Notamacropus eugenii: one gene and its partner. The protein of the gene in region 1 binds, or shares a complex with, the protein of each later gene. Links are inferred from orthologs where the notes say so. Each region holds a gene or a part of one and is shown on either strand. Other genes may lie near its edges. The genes, in order: EMC10 and EMC9.

What was found.
Region 2: EMC10 (region 1) and EMC9 share a complex: the UniProt entries of both Homo sapiens proteins name them as parts of the ER membrane protein complex. The link is inferred for Notamacropus eugenii from reciprocal best matches to the Homo sapiens genes EMC10 and EMC9.

What each region holds. Positions count from the first base shown.
Region 1 is NC_092876.1:5,128,850-5,138,202, reverse strand, and holds the start of EMC10 (ER membrane protein complex subunit 10), read left to right. Parts: upstream 1-5,674; 5' UTR 5,675-5,710; coding exon 5,711-5,794; intron 5,795-5,955; exon of another isoform or gene 5,956-6,059; coding exon of another isoform or gene 6,060-6,062; intron 6,063-6,150; coding exon 6,151-6,208; intron 6,209-6,771; coding exon 6,772-6,881; intron 6,882-7,762; coding exon 7,763-7,867; intron 7,868-8,057; exon of another isoform or gene 8,058-8,103; coding exon 8,104-8,285; intron 8,286-8,692; coding exon 8,693-8,786; intron 8,787-9,353. Other genes in the region: MYBPC2 (myosin-binding protein C, fast-type), read left to right, coding at 548-684, 885-1,160; GARIN5A (Golgi-associated RAB2 interactor protein 5A), read right to left, coding at 2,776-3,280, 4,574-4,704, 4,865-4,992, 5,204-5,240. UniProt on the Homo sapiens protein: Part of the endoplasmic reticulum membrane protein complex (EMC) that enables the energy-independent insertion into endoplasmic reticulum membranes of newly synthesized membrane proteins.
Region 2 is NC_092878.1:9,142,373-9,150,743, reverse strand, and holds EMC9 (ER membrane protein complex subunit 9), read right to left. Parts: upstream 2,891-8,371; 5' UTR 2,605-2,890; coding exon 2,407-2,604; intron 2,279-2,406; coding exon 2,202-2,278; intron 1,842-2,201; coding exon 1,772-1,841; intron 1,684-1,771; coding exon 1,589-1,683; intron 1,372-1,588; coding exon 1,191-1,371; 3' UTR 1,134-1,190; downstream 1-1,133. Other genes in the region: PSME1 (proteasome activator complex subunit 1), read left to right, coding at 18-86, 179-246, 440-494, 614-700, 933-1,013; PSME2 (proteasome activator complex subunit 2), read right to left, coding at 8,243-8,323. UniProt on the Homo sapiens protein: Part of the endoplasmic reticulum membrane protein complex (EMC) that enables the energy-independent insertion into endoplasmic reticulum membranes of newly synthesized membrane proteins.

The DNA of each region.
Region 1 (9,353 bases):
CACCCTCCAGTTCCCCTTCCCTCCTCCATTCACATGATCTCCATTGGAATCTATCAGGACCTCCTGGCCCCTGAGAAAGGCAGTGGAAGTGGGATCATCCCCATTTTACTGACGGAGAAATTGAGGTTCGAAGGGAAAGTCACACAGTGAATCATTCAGAACCTGAGTTTTCCCTGTCTCCAAGTCCAACCCTGTTTTCCCTACACTAGGTTGACTGTGCTTGGGTTTAAATTTTCCATGCTTCTCACTCTGTGCAGACTGCCTGGGCCAAGTCCTTGCCTATTTCTCTGCATGTAGAAGGGGCCTGGAGAAGACAGAACCTTTACTAGTCATAGTGTGCTTCTGACATGTGGTGGGAGTGGTGTTTGGGGGCCAGAGGCCGCCTAAGCTGCTGGGGGGGCCTGCTGAGTCATCCCCTGGTCTGTGGGCAAAGCCCCCACCCCAGCTCTGGCTGTGACCACTCTCCAAGGTGCCTCCTGGCTCTGGCCTGGCATCAGCATGTGGGAAGGGCCAGGTGGGTGACTGCTTTGTTCTGCACCCTCACTAGGCATCACCTTCAAGCCTCAGGAGTTCCAGCCACATGACTTCCGCTCTGCCCCCAAGTTCTTGACCCCGCTGACTGACCGGGTTGTGGTGGCAGGATACTCAGCGGCCCTCTGCTGTGCTGTTCGGGGGTGTCCCAAGGTGGGCGCTTGGGGCTAGGGAAGCAGCAGCAGCTGGGGAGAGGAGGGTTTCCTTGGGCACAGACAAAGTCAGGAACATGAATTCAAGGCCCCAGAATTGAGTGATCTCTTCTGAGGGCCTCAGTTTCCCCATTTGTAGAGGGGGGGTTGTGTGATCGCTCACACTCCAGGGATCCATTCCCCTGTTCCCTCTCTCCACAGCCGAAGGTGATCTGGATGAAGAACAAAATGGAGATTCATGAAGACCCCAAGTTCATAATGACCAACCAGCAGGGGGTCCTGACCCTTAGCATCCGGCGTCCAAGTCCCTTTGATGGGGGAACCTACTCCTGCAGAGCGGTCAATGAGTTGGGCGAGGCACTGGCTGAATGCAAGCTGGAGGTCCGAGGTGAGGATGTGGGAGGAACTGCCTTGGGCTGGCCGGCTGGAGGTCCACATCTGGCGGATTTCCTGTTCAGCCTGCAGTCCTGTGGCTAGCAAAGCGTCCCCAGAAAGGCACTCAGGAAAGATCTGGAGCCAAGATATCTGGCTTCAAATTCTGGCTGCATCAATGACTAGCTGTGTGGTTTTTGACAGCTCCTTGAACACCTCTTTGTTTTCTCTGTAAATGGGGTGAGGGCTGGACCAGGTCAGCTCTAGGGGCCTTTCCAGCTCTGTCCTTTTTGAGAGGCAGCCAGATGACACCATGGGGCTGGAGAACCTGGGTTCAAATTCAGTCTCAGACACTTAACTGGGCAAGTCACTTAACCACTGCCCCAGTTTCCTCATCTGTAAAAGGGGGATAATAGCAGCCCCTACCTCTCAGGGGTGAGAGGGAGACAATTGTGCTTTGCACCTTGTGCTCTAGAAATGCTAGTTCTAATTGGTAATAGTCCCACATATTCTGATAGTGCTCTAAGGACCTTGAAAGGTGGGCTTCCCTTCTCACAGGTAGGAGAACTGAGGCTGGGGAGTGACTCCTTGCTGTAGGTTCTCGGCAGTTTGGATTCTAACCCAAATCTCTTGTCTATGAGCCAAATTAATGCTCTTTTGACCACTTCCTCTCTCTGGACCTGTTTCCTTAGTGGCAAAAAGGACTCAAAGGTGCCTGCTTGATCTGGGACTGGTCACCTTCAGATCAGTTCCTTTATAGATGGGGGCAGATGGTGTGAAACCAAGCCAAGAATGTCTCAGTCTAAGGGCAGTAACCATGTGGAGGAGGGGGAATGGTCACAGTAATCACTCTGATGGGGGACAGCTACTAACCAGAGACAAGTGACTGGAGCCAGGGGCCACAGGAGTCAGCTGGGACAACAGAGCCAAGATCTCAGGTTTAGAGCTGTAAGGGGCCTGCCTGTATTTAAAAATGATGAAGCAGAGACCCAGAGATGAGATGTGACACCCATGGCAGCACACCACAGAGGTTGAGACAGAGGGAAAGTCAATTTGGAAGGAAGGGAGAGCTATACCAGGGGCCTGGCAGCTCATCCCCCTCACTGGGACTCAGTTTCAGCATCTGAAAATTGGGGATAATGATGCTCACAGGGCTTTCCTCTTCTCCAGTGCCACAGTAATCCTTCCTGAGGGCAGTCGATGTCCCTCCTGCCCCACCCAGTCTTTGCTGAGACCCTGATGAACCTGCCCCTGGACCCACTCCATGGTGACACCTCTCCCTCCTACTGATTGTTCATGTCAAACATGAAACTCACTGACTCTGTGGCTCCTGTTGTCAGTGCCTCCTGCATGGATGGATGGATGGATGGATGGATGGATGGATGGATGGATGGGTGGATGGATGGATGGATGGATGGAGGAAGGGAGGGAAGGAAGGAAAGGAGGAATTTAGGACTTCCATAGCTGAAGTCTGCTATGTGAATGGGTGGCTAGGTGGGTGGATGGATGGATGGATGGATGGATGGGTAGATGGAGGGATGGATGGGTGGGTAAATGAAGCGAGGAGAGGGAAGGAGGAAGGAAGGAAGGAGAAATTCCAGACTTCCATGGCTGGTGTCTGCTTTGTGGATGGATGGATGGATGGATGAAAGGACGGATGGATGAATTAATGAATGAAGGGGAGTGTGTGCACAGCCAGTTCTGACATACGGAATCTTTATTAGACTTGGTATTCTGTGCCTCTGTCCAGGGAAGAGGTCTCTCTCTGGCCTTCTGGTGTCCCAGGGAGGAAGGAAGGGTGGTGTATGTGTGTCCTGACCTCCCCCCCCCCTGCAGGGTGGAGGTGAAGGCAAGATTGGAGGCTCTGCACCTCGGGGAGTACTGGGCCTGGAGCCCTGGGTCTGGGGTGTGGGAGGTGGCAGTAACAGCGGCAGCAGCATCTCATATCTGGGGTCTCCACAGAATTGAGGAGGGGGCGGTCCTCTGGGCCTTCACTAGGAAACACAGAGTGAAGAATGGGTGAAGCTCTGGGGGTCCAGGAGTGCTCAGGTTCCCTGTGACCCAGGCCAGCCTCACCCTCTCCGGTCTTGTCACGGCCCCCTCTCCTCTTCCTTGGGGCTGGGGGCCTGGGTGAAGGGCACCCTTGTGCTGGAGTCAAAGCGCAGTCGGTAGAGCAGCCGGACCCAGCGGCCAAACTCCTGGTCTTCAGAGGCCGGAGCCCTAAGCTGCAGGTAGAATGTGCGGCCGGACCACAGCTTCACCTTCAGCTGCTGCCGCTTCTCGTCATGGATGAACAACTCCACAAATTTCAGGGGAATCAGCCTGTCCCCAGACCCCCAGAGAGGAGATCAGCCAGGGCATTGGCGCAGGAGGGATGGCCGCAGGTGTGGGCCCTGGCCCTGCTGGGTACCTCATGTGGAGAGGTGGCCAGCAGGAGCCAGGGAAAAGCTTTGCCTTGTCTTCAGTGGGGGCGGGAGGCAGGAGGCAGGAGGCACCTTCCATGGGGAAGGTGGAGAAGACCATCACTCCCAAGCCAGAGAACCTGGCTTCAAAATCCACCTCAGACACTCGGACACTCCCTATGTGGCACTGGTGGAGTCACCCCCTCCCTGGGCCCCAGTTTCCCCATCTGTAAAGGCATGGGGTTGGCCTAGGTGAACTCTGAGGACCTCCCAGTTTTAGCTCAATCCCCTTTTCCCGGGTCCAAGCATGCTCTTGCAGGGTGGAGGGGGCTCCCTCTCCAGCACCTCCGATGTCTGCCTCCCCTCCCTCACCACAAGCAGCCTTTCCCAAGTTCCCTGGATGCTCAGTTCCAGCTTGTTCTGGTTGTACGTGGCTACTGGTCGGCCATCTCCCCCCTTGGACTCATCCCCCAGTAGAAGTTCCTCCAAGGCTTTGGCTGTTCGGTTATTTCATCCTGTCTGACTCTCCGGGACCCTACTGGGGGTTTTCTTGGCAGAGATATTGGACTGGTTTTCCATTTCCTTCTCCAGCCCATTTTACAGATGAGGAAACTGAGGCAGACAGGGTGAAATGACTTGCCCAGGGTCTCACAACTGGTGTAGGAAGTTGGATTTCAACTCAGGGAGAGTTCCCGATGCATGGCCCGAAGCTCTGCACACTACAACCCCACCTAGTAGTCAGCTTCTTTTAGAAGGGACTCTGATACCTGGAGAGCACCTACTTGGTTGCTATCAGGCACAGACACTTGGGTGGGGGATGCACACTGTACCTGAGGATCAGCCATTGGGGGAGGGGTTAGATGGATTAGCCTGCTGAGCGCTGGGCAGGGCCTCACAGGGTAGAAGACAAAGCCCTGACTACAACACTTAGCTAGGCTGGCAGCCTCCTCCGAGCCTCGACAGCTACTTGGCAAGGCATTTTACAGATGGGGACACTGAGGCTAGGTGGGGCAGGGTGGTAGCAGGAGCTGGGGGGGCATACCAAGGAAGTACCCATGAGGGTCTGGGTGAGCCCAGCAGGTAGGGGTTTTGGGTTTTTTTTTGGGGGGTCCTCACTCAAACAGTTGCAGGCCCCCCTTCCCGGGGGAAGGCCCGGCCAGCAGCAATATGTCAGGCAGCTCCAGGGCTGGGCTGGTGGCTGCCACACCCATGGTCACCTTGTTGGCTACCTCTCCGAACCGAGTAACCTGGGGGCCGAAGGCCGGAGGTCAGAGCAGGGGTGGGGTTCCTGAGAAGCTCGCGGGGGAAAGGAAGATTCCCAGGTTTGGGTCCGAGATCAGGAGGGGATGCGGAGGCTGGGGGTGGGGGGCAGCCGCAGCGGGGTAAGGGCTGCCGCCCGACGGGCACCTGGACGAAGTTGCTCTCAAACATGGGGAAGTCGCAAAGCTGGTCGAACTCCCCGCTGCACAGGTGGCGCTGGAGGCGACCGGGCCTGGGGTAGGTGGACTGCAGGGGCCTTGGGACGGCCTTCGCCCCTGAGGAGTAAGCAACAGGACCACGCCTGCTGGGTGCTGGGAGGGCGAGGGTGGGGGTGGCGCCTGCTCCAGCCTCCAGCCCGGCTTCACGCAGGTGCCCCCTCCAGCCCCGGTCCCGCCCTCACCCGGGCCCCGCGGTGGGCGGTCACCTGTTCCAGCCTCCAGCCCGGCTTCACGCAGGTGCCCCCTCCAGCCCCGGCCCCGCCCTCACCTGCCCGTCGTGGGGCGCCCTGCTCCAGCCGCCTCATGCTCGCCCCGCTCCGGTCCTCGCGAGCCTCGGGGGGTAGGGGGTTCCGGGCTGGGCCGGGGGCCCTGGGGGTGGCTGGGGTCTACCCAGCAGAGGCGGAGGAGGGCGCGCGCTCTCCTCCCACGGCACCAAGTTCGGCCCTCTGGGTCTTTCCCCGAACGCTACCAGGTTGCTACGGAGACGGGGGCGGGGCCCAGTTTCTGTGAGGTCACGGAGCAGAGTAGTCGCGCACGCGCAAAACACATGGCCGAGAAACCGAGGCTCGAGTGGGAGTCGATGCGCATGCGTACCTCCGTGCCTTGGGGAGCCGGGTGGAGGTGGGGCACGGTTTGCTTTAGGCGTATTTAGCAGCGTGACGTCACATGGAGGGAGAAGAAAGACGGAGCCCGCAAAGGCGCGCAGGCGCAGAGGCTGCATCCGCCCTCTCCCAGAGTGCGCCGCGCGTGGTCACGTGAGCGCGGCCGGGCGGCGATGGCGGCCCCCTGGCTGGTGCTGCTGTTTCTGGCTGCGCCGGGCGCGGTCCGGGGGAGCGGCTGCCGGGCCCCAGCCCGGGGGGTCAGTACTGCGGGGGGGCAGGGAAGGGGAGGGCCCCCCCCCGCGCTCTGGGTCCTACTTTATTCTCTGTGCAGTCTTGGGGGCTCCGCTCTCAGCGCAGACTGACCCCAGGTGGGCAGCCCCCTGCCCCGGGACCCCGCCCCAGCGTCAGGAGTAGGGGTCCCCCGGGGAGCACCCCCTCTGATCACCGTCCTGCTGCCCCCGCGACCCCCGATCTTCAGACATCGCCTGGGGCGCCCCGCCTTTCTCCTTCTTTCTTCTTGGGATGGTGAGGCCCCGCGGGGCAGAGGCGGGGCGTGTGTGACCGCGAGATGGGGCTGGGGTTCTGTGCGTGACCCGGGCCTCCCTTCCCGCAGGCTGCGGCTGAGGGCTGCGCGCCCACGGGGCTGCTGCTGGAGCACTCCTTTGAGACCGGTGAGGGGGCTGGGAGCGGGGCACGGGGCGGGGCTCGGTGTGGGCGGGGCGGGGGCGGGGCTCGGTGTGGGCGGGGCGGGGCGGGGCACGGGGCGGGGGCGGGGCGGGGGCCTGGGGGCGGGGCACGGGGCGGGGGGGGGGCCTGGGGGCGGGGCACGGGGCGGGGCTCGGTGTGGGCGGGGCGGGTAGGGGCTCGGGGCGGGGCACGGGGCGGGGCTCGGTGTGGGCGGGGCGGGGGCGGGGCACGGTGTGGGCGGGGCGGGTAGGTGCTCGGTGCGGGGCGGGGCACGGGGCGGGGGCGGGGCGGGGGGGCCTGGGGGCGGGGGGGGGCGGGGCTCGGTGTGGGGCGGGGCGGGGGCCTTGGGGCGGGGTGGGGCAGTCCGAGGCCTGGACATCCCCAGGGCCCCTCTGGGTTGAAGGGCAGCCCCCATCCAAACCCACATCCCCCGCCCCCCAGGGGAACCCCCGCTGACTTTCTGCTTTTGACCCTTCCTGGGATGCGCCTCAGCGAGGGGCAGCCGGGGGTGAGAGGACTGTGGTCTCTGAGCCCCCCCTTTCTGCAGATGACAGCGTCCACTTCCGGAAACGGGGCTCCCTGACATGGAACGTGCAGGACGGGACCATCGCCCTGACCCAGCGCCAGCTGACTGAGGATGAGCGGGGCCGGCTGCGGGTGAGGGGCTGGAGGCGGGGTGCAGGGCTGCGGGGTGCCAGGCTGCGGGTGAGGGGCTGGAGGCGGGGTGCCGGGCTGCGGGGTGCAGGGCTGCGGGTGAGGGGCTGGAGGCGGGGTGCAGGGCTGCGGGGTGCAGGGCTGCGGGGTGCCAGGCTGCGTGTGAGGGGCTGGAGGCGGGGTGCCGGGCTGCGGGGTGCCAGGCTGCGGGTGAGGGGCTGGAGGCGGGGTGCAGGGCTGCGGGGTGCCAGGCTGTGGGTGAGGGGCTGGAGGCGGGGTGCAGGGCTGCGGGGTGCCAGGCTGCGGGTGAGGGGCTGGAGGCGGGGTGCAGGGCTGCGGGGTGCCAGGCTGCGGGTGAGGGGCTGGAGGCGGGGTGCAGGGCTGCGGGGTGCCAGGCTGCGGGTGAGGGGCTGGAGGCGGGGTGCCGGGCTGCGGGGTGCCAGGCTGCGTGTGAGGGGCTGGGGACAGGGTGCCGGGCTGCGGGGTGCCAGGCTGCGGGTGAGGGGCTGGAGGCGGGGTGCAGGGCTGCGGGGTGCCAGGCTGCGGGGTGCCAGGCTGCGGGTGAGGGGCTGGAGGCGGGGTGCCGGGCTGCGGGGTGCAGGGCTGTGGGGTGCCAGGCTGCGTGTGAGGGGCTGGGGGCAGGGTGCCGGGCTGCGGGGTGCCAGGCTGTGGGGTGCCAGGCTGCGGGTGAGGGGCTGGAGGCGGGGTGCAGGGCTGCGGGGTGCCAGGCTGCGGGTGAGGGGCTGGAGGCGGGGTGCTGGGCTGCGGGGTGCCAGGCTGTGGGTGAGGGGCTAGGGGGTGCCGGGCTGTGGGTGGCAGACCCTGCAGAGTCCGGAGGCCCGCGTGCTAAGCCGGCCCGGGGCCTCTCTTTCCGCTCTCCCCAGGACGTGGCGGCTCTGAACGGTCTGTACCGAGTCCGGGTGCCCCGGAAGCCCGGGGCTGCCGAGGGGCTGGCAGTCACCGGCCACGTGTCCTCCTTTGTCCCTGCGGTGAGTCTGACCGGAGCCCCTGGGGGTCCTCCCCGGGCCAGGGAATTCCCGGTGTGGCTTCAGAGGCCGCACCTGGGTCCCAGCAGATTACAGGAGCACACCCCAAGTGACTGACCTTAGAGCCTGGCAGAGCTGGCCTCATTCTGCCTGTGACCCACCCCCCCAACCATGGCCCGCCTCTGCCCCTTAGGGAGCCAGAGCCTCCTTCCCTGGTCTCATCATGCTGCCCCCTGCAGTGCTCCCTGGTCGAGTCCCACCTCTCCGACCGGCTGACCCTGCATGTGGACGTGGCCGGCAACGTGGTGGGCCTGTCTGTGGTGACGGAGCCCGGGGGCTGCCGGGGCCACGAGGTGGAGGATGTGGACCTAGAGCTGTTCAACACCACGGTCCAGCTGCAGCCGCCTCTGACGGCGCCAGGGTGAGGGGCCCGGCCCAGCCCTGCCCCCCTTCCTCCTCACGGCCCCCAGGGTGAGGGGCCCAGCCCTGCACCCCCTTCCTCCTCACAGCCCCCAGGGTGAGGGGCCCAGCCCTGCACCCCCTTCCTCCTCACAGCCCCCAGGGTGAGGGGCCCAGCCCTGCCCCTCTTCTCGGGGCCCCCAGGGTGAGGGGCCCAGCCCTGCCTCCCTTCTCGGGGTCCCCAGGGTGAGGGGCCCAGCCCTGCCCCCCTTCTTCCTTGGGGGCCCCCAGGGTGAGGGGCCCGGCCCTGCCCCCCTTTCCTCCTCCGGCCCAGGTCATGTCTATCTCTTGTCTCCCCCCTCCCTCCCTGCCCTCCTCTCCTCTGGGCCCCCGACATGCTTTTCTGTTCTCACCCACTGCTCTCTCCAGCCCAGAGACAGCTGCCTTCATTGAGCGTCTAGAGATGGAACAAGCCCAGAAGGCCAAGAACCCCCAGGAGCAGAAGTCCTTCTTCGCCAAATATGTGAGTGCCTTCCCCACTCCCCTGAGCACTTAGGACAGCCCTGGGTAGGGCAGAGGGCGGGCTCTGCGCTGGGCCCTCTGGGGCCTCTCCTCGGTCTTCACCTCATCCACCATACCCCCTTCTTGTTCCTCATCTCTGGGGCTTCCCTCCCTCTGCCTGAGCCCCCTTTGGGTCTCAGTTTTTTCTGTTCCTTGGACAGAAGAGGAGGGCCTGAGCCTGGGGGTGGGGTGGGTCCATCTCCCTGGGGCATTCCCTTCCTCCTCACCCCTGCTGATGCCTCCTTTCTGGAGGACCCTCTGGGGAAGAGGGGGCCTCCCATTTCTCACTTCCTCCTCAACAATTGTGTTCTGTAGAACAATCAGAGCAGCCCTTGATGGGGCGCATATGGGGTACCTCCTCCTCCACACCCTGCCAGAGGAGGGAAGAGCCTCCTCTTGTCTGTGTGTCGGCTGCTGCTCTTGGGGATCTTACATCCTCCAGCACGATGCAGAGCAGCCACACAGTCTGTGCAGAGTCACCTCGAGGATGGTGTCCACTGTTCTGGAGGGCCAGGAAAGGGCATCCTTC
Region 2 (8,371 bases), on another chromosome or scaffold:
TGCCCTTGTTTCCCCAGGTTTCCATGTGGCTGCAGCTACAGGTGCCCCGAATTGAGGATGGAAACAACTTTGGAGTAGCAGTCCAGGTGATGATACTGCCCCACCCTAAACACCTTACCTTGATCCTGCTTTGGAGCCATGCTTTATCTCATCTCTTTCCTACCTTTCTTTTCCTTAGGAGAAGGTATTTGAGCTGATGACTACACTTAGGACTAAGCTGGATGGCTTCCAAACCCAGATCTCAAAGTAAGTGATCCAGTCTCACATGTATATCTTGCCCCTGTCTTAGTGGTTTCTGGCTCAAATTCCAGCTCTTGCTTTCCACTCTCATTTTAGGTGCTGCCATTTTGGTTTCTTTTTTTTAAAGTCTTCTATATTCACCTCTCATAAGGAACATTACTTTCCCACCCACCCCATAACTTTTCTCATTCCTCATTAGGTACTTCTCTGAAAGGGGTGATGCAGTGGCTAAAGCAGCAAAGCAACCACATGTGGTGAGTGAGGAAGCAGGTCCAGAGTGGGCAGAGGCATAATTCAGAAGGAAGCCCCCAGGAAGGATAGGATGGGCATTAGATAAGGCCAGTATGAAGAACTAACCCTGAAGTCTCCACAGGGTGACTACCGACAACTGGTTCATGAACTGGATGAAGCACAGTATGGAGAGACAAGACTCATGGTCATGGAGATCCGAAATACTTATGTAAGGAACTAGACCCTGGAATTTGCTTGGTGGAAGAGCAGAGGCAAAGTTGGGAGGGTTGATATGGAGGCAAATAACATTAGCTTCAGGACAAATGACTCACGAGGTATACCCTGTGAGGGGTGGGAGAGAGGAAATGAAAATAAACTTCTAGTAAGATTGGGAAGCCATTAAAGAGCCTCTACTGAGAGCTCAGAATAACTTCCCCTCCCTTCTTACTTGGGTCCTACAGGCTGTGTTATATGATATCATCCTGAAGAACTTTGAGAAGATCAAGAAGCCCAGGGGGGACACAAAAGGAATGATCTACTGAAAAACGGAGCCTGCCTCCCTTCTCCATCACCCCTTAAGTAAGATTATCTGTCTTGCCACAGTTCAGCTTCCATTAGAACTTCCCCTCTTATCCATACCTTGCCTTCTGAACACCAATAAATTTGGTCACACCACTCCCCAGTCTTTTTATTTAAGGTTCTTGCCACTATGGACAAACTCAGGCACTCCCATTGGCAGCAGCAACCCACTGGGAAATTTCAGTATTGAGCTGTTGATTGGTCCAGTCACGACGGATGTCATCAAGGTGGGCATCAAAGTCAACAAGAAGCTGGTGGGCCCGGCCTTCAAGTAGTGCTCGAAGGAGCTGCCTTGACTCTTCCCAATCCCGCCACATTACCCTGAAATAAAACCCACCAAAAAGGAAACATTCAGTTTATCACAAAGACCTAGGACTAAAGACAGAGTTTAGGTCTAGGATGTCCCCAGGAGATGAAGTCTGGATTGAAGTTAATTTCTCTGCTGCCTTAGAACTCCAGGAAAAGGGGATTTGGAGGGAAGGAGTCCAGACTTAGAAGCAAAGGGTATGTAGCAAAGGAATAGAGGTACTTTACTCACAGGTTTTTGTCTTTGGGGACCCAGCGTCGATCACGAGTCTCCAAGACAATGATAGGGGGCACTCGAGGCTGGGGCACCATTTTCCGATTATCCAACTGAGAAATTGAGGTAAGGATTGTTGAGGATTCCAGGATTCCCTTTCTCCCTCCTTTTCTCCTCAACTCCCTCAGTCCTCAGACTTACCATGATGAGTACTGCACCAGGGAAAAATTCCGCAATTCGTCCAGCAATTTTCAGGGCAAGGGGACCAGGACTAGGAGGAAAAGAGGCATTAGAGGGTCCTGAGCAGCAGAGCCATCTACTTGCCTGTCCTTTAAAGCTAACAGGTGTCCTTCAACCCCTATCGAGGTGAGTTGAGATTAGCCCAGTCAGGAGGAAATTACTGGTTGGATTTAACCCTGGCAAACATTTACCTCAGAGCAGAGCTTAACCTGGAGTCCAAGCACCCTGCTGTAAACTTGGAAGAAAAAAAATACATTTTTATTTTCATTAAACGCTAACTGAAATTTAGCATTTCCTTCAATTAGGGGGCAACAAACCATTCTTCTGAGAAGGAGGTCCCGCATACAGAGAAATGCCCTGACACTTTCCAGCAGCCATCTCCCGCACTCACCTCTGGTCATTCAGCGAGGCATTGGCGTGGTAGTACCCAGCTACCACCAAACTGCCCTGCGCACCCCACACATCCACCTGTCACGAGAAAGGGCCCATTAGTTCCTATACAGATGGCACTGCCAGTGAACAGATGCCAAGGGGCACAGGGCCTGAGGCCAGGCCAAGGCCCAGAGGCGCGGAGTGGGGTGGGGGCCAAGGGGTACCTGGTTAAGGGCGACCTCCAGCATGACCGAAAGGGCCAGGTGGCTGTGGAAGAGAGGCACACAGTCACTGAGGCACAGGCAGCCCTCCGCCCGGGGCGCCGGGGCCAGCAGCAGCCCGTTGACAGCTGCGTGCGGGTAGCGGGCAGCGTGCAGGCACATCTTGACGTAGGCCCGGGCCGAGATCTCCACTTCTCCCATGGTCCGCGGGCTGTGGCCGGGGTCCAAACGGGGTCTCGGGGACCAGGAGCCAGCCCGGCCTGCGCCTGCCTGGCTGCCCCTTCCCTTCCTCCCGCGCCCCGCACGCACGCAGTCGGCCAGGACCTCCCTCGGCCACCGGGGCCCCGTCAGCGTCACCTCCCGCCGTCCAGATTGGGCCTGGGCCCGGCTCGGCCGATTCTGCTCCGGGCCCCCTCCCTCAGATGGAGCTGTCACGCTGCCTTCCCCCCCGCCCCCCAAGCTGTCCCCAATGGCCTCTCCCGAAGCGGAGAACACACCCCTCCCGCCCCTAAGGGGCGGCCGCTACGGCGAGCGTCCAGCCCCAGCCGAGCCGCAGCTCCTCCCGCTTCTCCGACTCCCCGACCAGTTTGGGGTGCCACCCAACTCCTGACGCAGGGTTGGTCCAATCGACTTTGATTCGTCCTATCACTGGGCGCACGTTCCTTGACCAGGTTCTGATTGGAAGACTTTGTCTTCGCCTTTTCATGGGTCCGCTCCTTTGCAGGAGCCGCTAGGATAACGTGTGCGCTGGGAGGGGATAGTTGATTCAGCCTCCTGAGGTCTGGCTGGGCGCTCCTTGCTGTCCATGTGCCTAGGCCCTTCCCTGCAGCACCAGTCAGGGAGAGGATTGGAGAGGGGCACCTGGAGCCGCCCAGCACTCCACCGAGACAGACCTCTCGCTTGTCCACGATCTCCTAGCTCTTTAAAACTACATTAGCCGCGTTGTGACTTGGAACCCCAGTTCTAGAAAGCACTGTGGAATTACGCAAATAAATGCCTATACCGTTCCGCTGCTGGGCATCTATCCCAAGGACTTTACTGATACTAAAATAGTTATAGCAGCACCTTTTGTGGTAGCAAAACAAAACAAAACCGTGGGAAAAAGTAGACATCTGTCCAGGGCAGACCTGGCTTCAGGCCTACCCCCACCTCTTCCCTACATCTCCCTTTTCAGCTTCTTTTCATGTCTTGTCTTTCCCCATTAGATTGTGGGCTCTTTGAAGGCAGGGTGCTTGGCATGGTGCCTGGCATAAAGCAGGCACTTAATACTTATTGACTGACTAATTAGGGGAAAGGAGAAACAAATTGTGATAAGTGAATGTAATGGAACATTGTTACATTGTAAAAAAAAAATACATGATCCCTGCCCCGCCCCCCAGCTCCACCCTGCAAAAGATCGAAGATGATAAAAACAGAGAATCGAGGAAAGACTTAAAAGAACTGACGCAAGGAGAGGTAAGCAGAGCCAGGAAAGAAATGCACAGTTATTGCAATGGGGTAAATGGAAAGGACAATAACTACAAAACAACAGAAAATGTTTCGAAAGTGTAAGGAACATGCCTGACCCCAAAGAAGCGATGTGAAAAGTTAACTCCTTTCTCTCCTTTGCAGAGGGTAGGAGTGGTCTAACATAACATAACAGATTTTTTCAGCTTGGTGATCAATTTACTGAGCTTTTTTATCTCTCTCTTTAAAAACAATCTTTCTTATAAGGGATGGTTTCTGGGAAGGAGGGAAAAGATTTACAGAGGGAAGTCGAGGCAATGTAAACATAAGTTACCTTAACATTTTTAAAAGAAAGCAAGAAATGAGTTCCCTTCATCCACCAAAATAAATGAGGCCCTCCAAAAACACATTAGCAAGATGACAAAATATGGGAATATTTTGGAGCTATTTCGAATAGACAGGCACACTAATATGCTGTTGGTGGAACTGTGAAGTGATTCAAACATTTGGGAAAGTGTTAGAAACCCGCAAGACACTAAAAGTAACAAGGAAAATTTATTGCAGCAGAGTTCAGAGGAATTGAACACTTTGGCCAAAGTGGGCCCCCACCCTCTTTTTCAGGAGGAGGGAGCACAGAGTACAGAAGTGAGATGAGCTAAATATCGTTAATTCAAGACAGATCCTCCCACCAGGAGATGGATTGGTCCATCCTCCATTAGGTCACCCTCTTCTCTACATGCCCATTGTAAAATACCCCCTTAGGGATTCTCCCTTCCAAACATGCTCTAACATAGGACCTATAATCAGAAAATGGAAGGATAATTTTATGCGTAGTGTATCTGCTTATATGCATGAGGTTCCTCAAGCAAGCACAGTAAAGAAAAGTCTTTTCTAGATATCTCTAGGTCATTTTTCTTGGCTAGTTCCAGCTAGCCAAGTTCCTTTATCAAAAACTTTGTAATTTTCTGAAGGTCACCGTCTGTCTTTTGATTGGTTAAGTCCATCTCTAGTCTGCTGGCTTTCTTATTATCTAACTTATTCTCAATGACTTCATGAATTTAACAATAGCTTATTGTGGAAACTTTTGCTGTCTCACAGAAAGCAATTTGGAATTATTTTAAGAAAGCAACTGATAGGTTCATATCTTTTTACACAAAGATACTACTCTACTATTCATCTACCTCCAAGGAGGTAAAAAAAAAAATAGGGGGAAAAAAGAGTCCAATGTACATCAAAATATTGATAGCAACACTTTTTGTAATAGGAAAAACAAAACAAAAAACTGAAAACAAAATAGGTGTCCATAAAGTTTGATACCAATATACAGTGACATAAGAAAAATGAATACGAAAAATACAGCAAGGCATAAGAAGACATATGAAGTGCTACCAAATTAATACAGGAATACAATTTGTACAATAATAACACCAATGCAAACAGAAAAGAAAAAATAAGGAAATGGCAAAGTATCAAACCTGGCCCCAAAAAGCTCAGAAAATATATTTCTGTCACTTCTTTGCAGGAAAGGATTCATGAAGGATATGGAACATTGCTGAAATCAGATAACATTTGTAAAGCACTTAGCACAGTCCTTGGCACATGGCAGTCATCATCATCATCATCATCATCATTTTTGATAAGATGGTTAGTTTTGCTGAACTTTTTTTTCTTTCTGTGATGGAGATGTGGCACATGTGCAGTGCCTCAGATGGTGTCTCTGTGTGGAAGACACTAGTGCATTGCTTTGGGGAGACTTGTGATGTATAAGAGAAATGCCTTAGAGAGACAAACTGTGGAATGTGTGATTTCATCGTTGGTGTTTAGTCAAGACCCCATTTGGGGTTTTGGAGTTTGAGGGGTTTTTTGCAAAGATACTGGAGTGGTTTGCCATTTCCCTCTCCAGCTCATTTTACAGATGAGGAAACTGAGGCAAACAGGGTTACATGACTTGCCCAGGGTCACACAGCTAGTCTGAGGTCAGATTTGAACTCAGATCCTTCTGATTCAAAGACCAGAAGTCTATTCACTTCATCACCTAGCTGCCCAAAGCATGTGTAGACATTCTGTAACTGGTTCTGATCAACCATGTGTTGAAGAGAAGGCTCTTAGGCTGCAGAGGCATTCAGCAAAATCTATTCATTTCAGCTATGACCTCTTTGCCTCATTTGCTTTTGAAGTCATCCCAGTGATTCCTGCCTGCCATCTGGTAAGGGGAGTAGAGTCTCTGAAACTGGGAATTTTCAAAGGTCCAAAGAGCAAGCCGCAGGAATCCAGGAGTTCAAGCCTAGGCTGAGTTTCCCAACCAGGACAGCATTATACCCCAGGGACTAAGGTGTGATCTTCAGGAGGGACCTTTGTGACTGTAGCTCAAAAGAATTCATCTAGCAGTTATGCCACATTTGGACATGAACTTGGAAGGATTGAGGCTGTGTAGTAATTGAGGTAAGCTTCAAGTCTATTCCCCTAGAGGCTGATGATAGCGTAGGAGAGGCATTAGGGGAAATGTATATTTGTTCTTGCGACATCTTTATTTCTTTGTAAATTCCTTTGTAAATGTTACCTACTGTTAAGTGGTTAAATGGGACTGAGGTTGCTAGTCACTGAACCCGATTAATAGGGAAAAAATAGTTGATTGGAGTTCCAGCTGGCAGTAGAGAAAAACCTACTTCAATCCACTTGGGTTACCTTGAGGAAAGATATAGTCCACCTGACCTTGAGAGATTGGGGCCAAAGCACACATGTTATGTTCTTTTTTTCCTTAGTATTATAAGGGTTGGCTCTCTGGGAAAAGGAAAGAGATATTGGGAAATTTAAAGTGATGTAAAGATCAATGATACCAATACAATTAAATACATACATATTAGCTTGTCCCCTAAGAGGAGACAAGAGAATCCATCCTCTCATTAGTAAGGTAGGGGACTGTGCATATAGAATGCTTCATGTGCTATTAGACCCTGCTGATACATCCATTGGTTTTATTAAACTATTCTTTTCTCTTAATTTTTGTTAGATTGTAAATCTCTTTACTGAATAGGAGGGTGGAGGGGGATACATTCGTAAATGTGGTGTTAAAAAAAGGCATCAACAAAGCTAATACAATTTCTACCCCGCTCATGTAGGCATTGTTAGCTACAAAACTATAGAGTGGTAACCTGGAGGACTGAAAAAACATGGTTTGGAGTTAGAGCATTTATTTGATCTTGGATTTGGAATTTGGATCCTGGCAGGGCTACCTAAGGACCTTTCAGCAAGTCACTGAATGTCTCTGGGTCTCAGTTTTCTCTTCTGTAAAATGAGATGTTTGGAGATGATCTCTACTGCTACTTCAGGCAGGTCACTTAAATTCTGTGGTTCTCATTCTCCACCTCTCTCAAGTGATGGGGTTGGAGTGGATCCTTTCTACTTATGTTTTTCCTCTAATTATTACAGCCTGCTGGGGGTCATACCCTTGGGAGAACAATAAAGAAAAGACTGGACAGGAAGGATATTTGAACATTTTTCAGAAATAGTCACTTGCCCAGAAAATGCTCTTCTGTGAAACCAAGGTGGCCCTTTCTGGAAGCTGGGGGGAGTGGAGGCAGAAGGGAGAGGCAATCTGGGTTGACTTGCCCAGGGTCACACAGCTAGTGTCTGAGGCTGAATTTGAACTCAGGTCCTCCTGACTCCAGGGCCATTTCTCTTTCAAGAATGCTCATGAAATGTAGGGGCTGTTCTAGAAGCTCCTGATGTGGTTTAATATGGTATTGTTATATTTTAGCTTTTGTCCTGATAGCCTGACAAAGTTACGGGTGTAAAAATAATTATAGTAAAAGTTATAGGTCCTATATAAACAGGCCAACTATGTATCTCAACATATTGTTTTTTTAATAACGAGAAAAGACACTGAAGTACAAGACACACTTCCTAACACTTAAAGCTGTCCCAAAATGGAGAGGACTGTCTTGGAAAGCAGTGGGTTTCTTCTCACTGGAGATTTTCAAGTATAGCCTGGAGAACTATTTAAATTTTTTAGATGACTTTTCAAGTATGTGGTATAGAGAGTTTCTGCTCAGCCATGGGAACATACAGTCCTTTCCAACCTGGACTCTAGGATACCTAATCTCCAATATGTGGGATGTGTAGGATCTGGACCAGGGTAGAAGCAATGCACTCCTATCATCCGCATGCTGAGGTCTGATGGAGGGATGTGAAAGCACCCATTGCAGTTTCCCAGAACTGCATGTGCTTCAAGGTGGGGAATCCCAGCCGTACAGCAGTGCGGTCATAGTGCCCCTGAGGCAGCATCTGATTCTTCTACTCCCACAGTTCCTCAGAATGGATACAATAAGCACAAAACAACCAGCTCAGTTTGTTAAAGGATTAAGATCATTTATTTGCTGTATGGCCCTGGGGCTCAGTACATGGATGGTTTCTCTTCACCCTTTGGATTGGTGATCTTCTCCAGGTTGTTGCTGATGATGTGATAGAGCTCAGCCTGGAAAAATGAGTCAAAGTGGTAGCTACAGCTCCCTCCCTGCCCTCC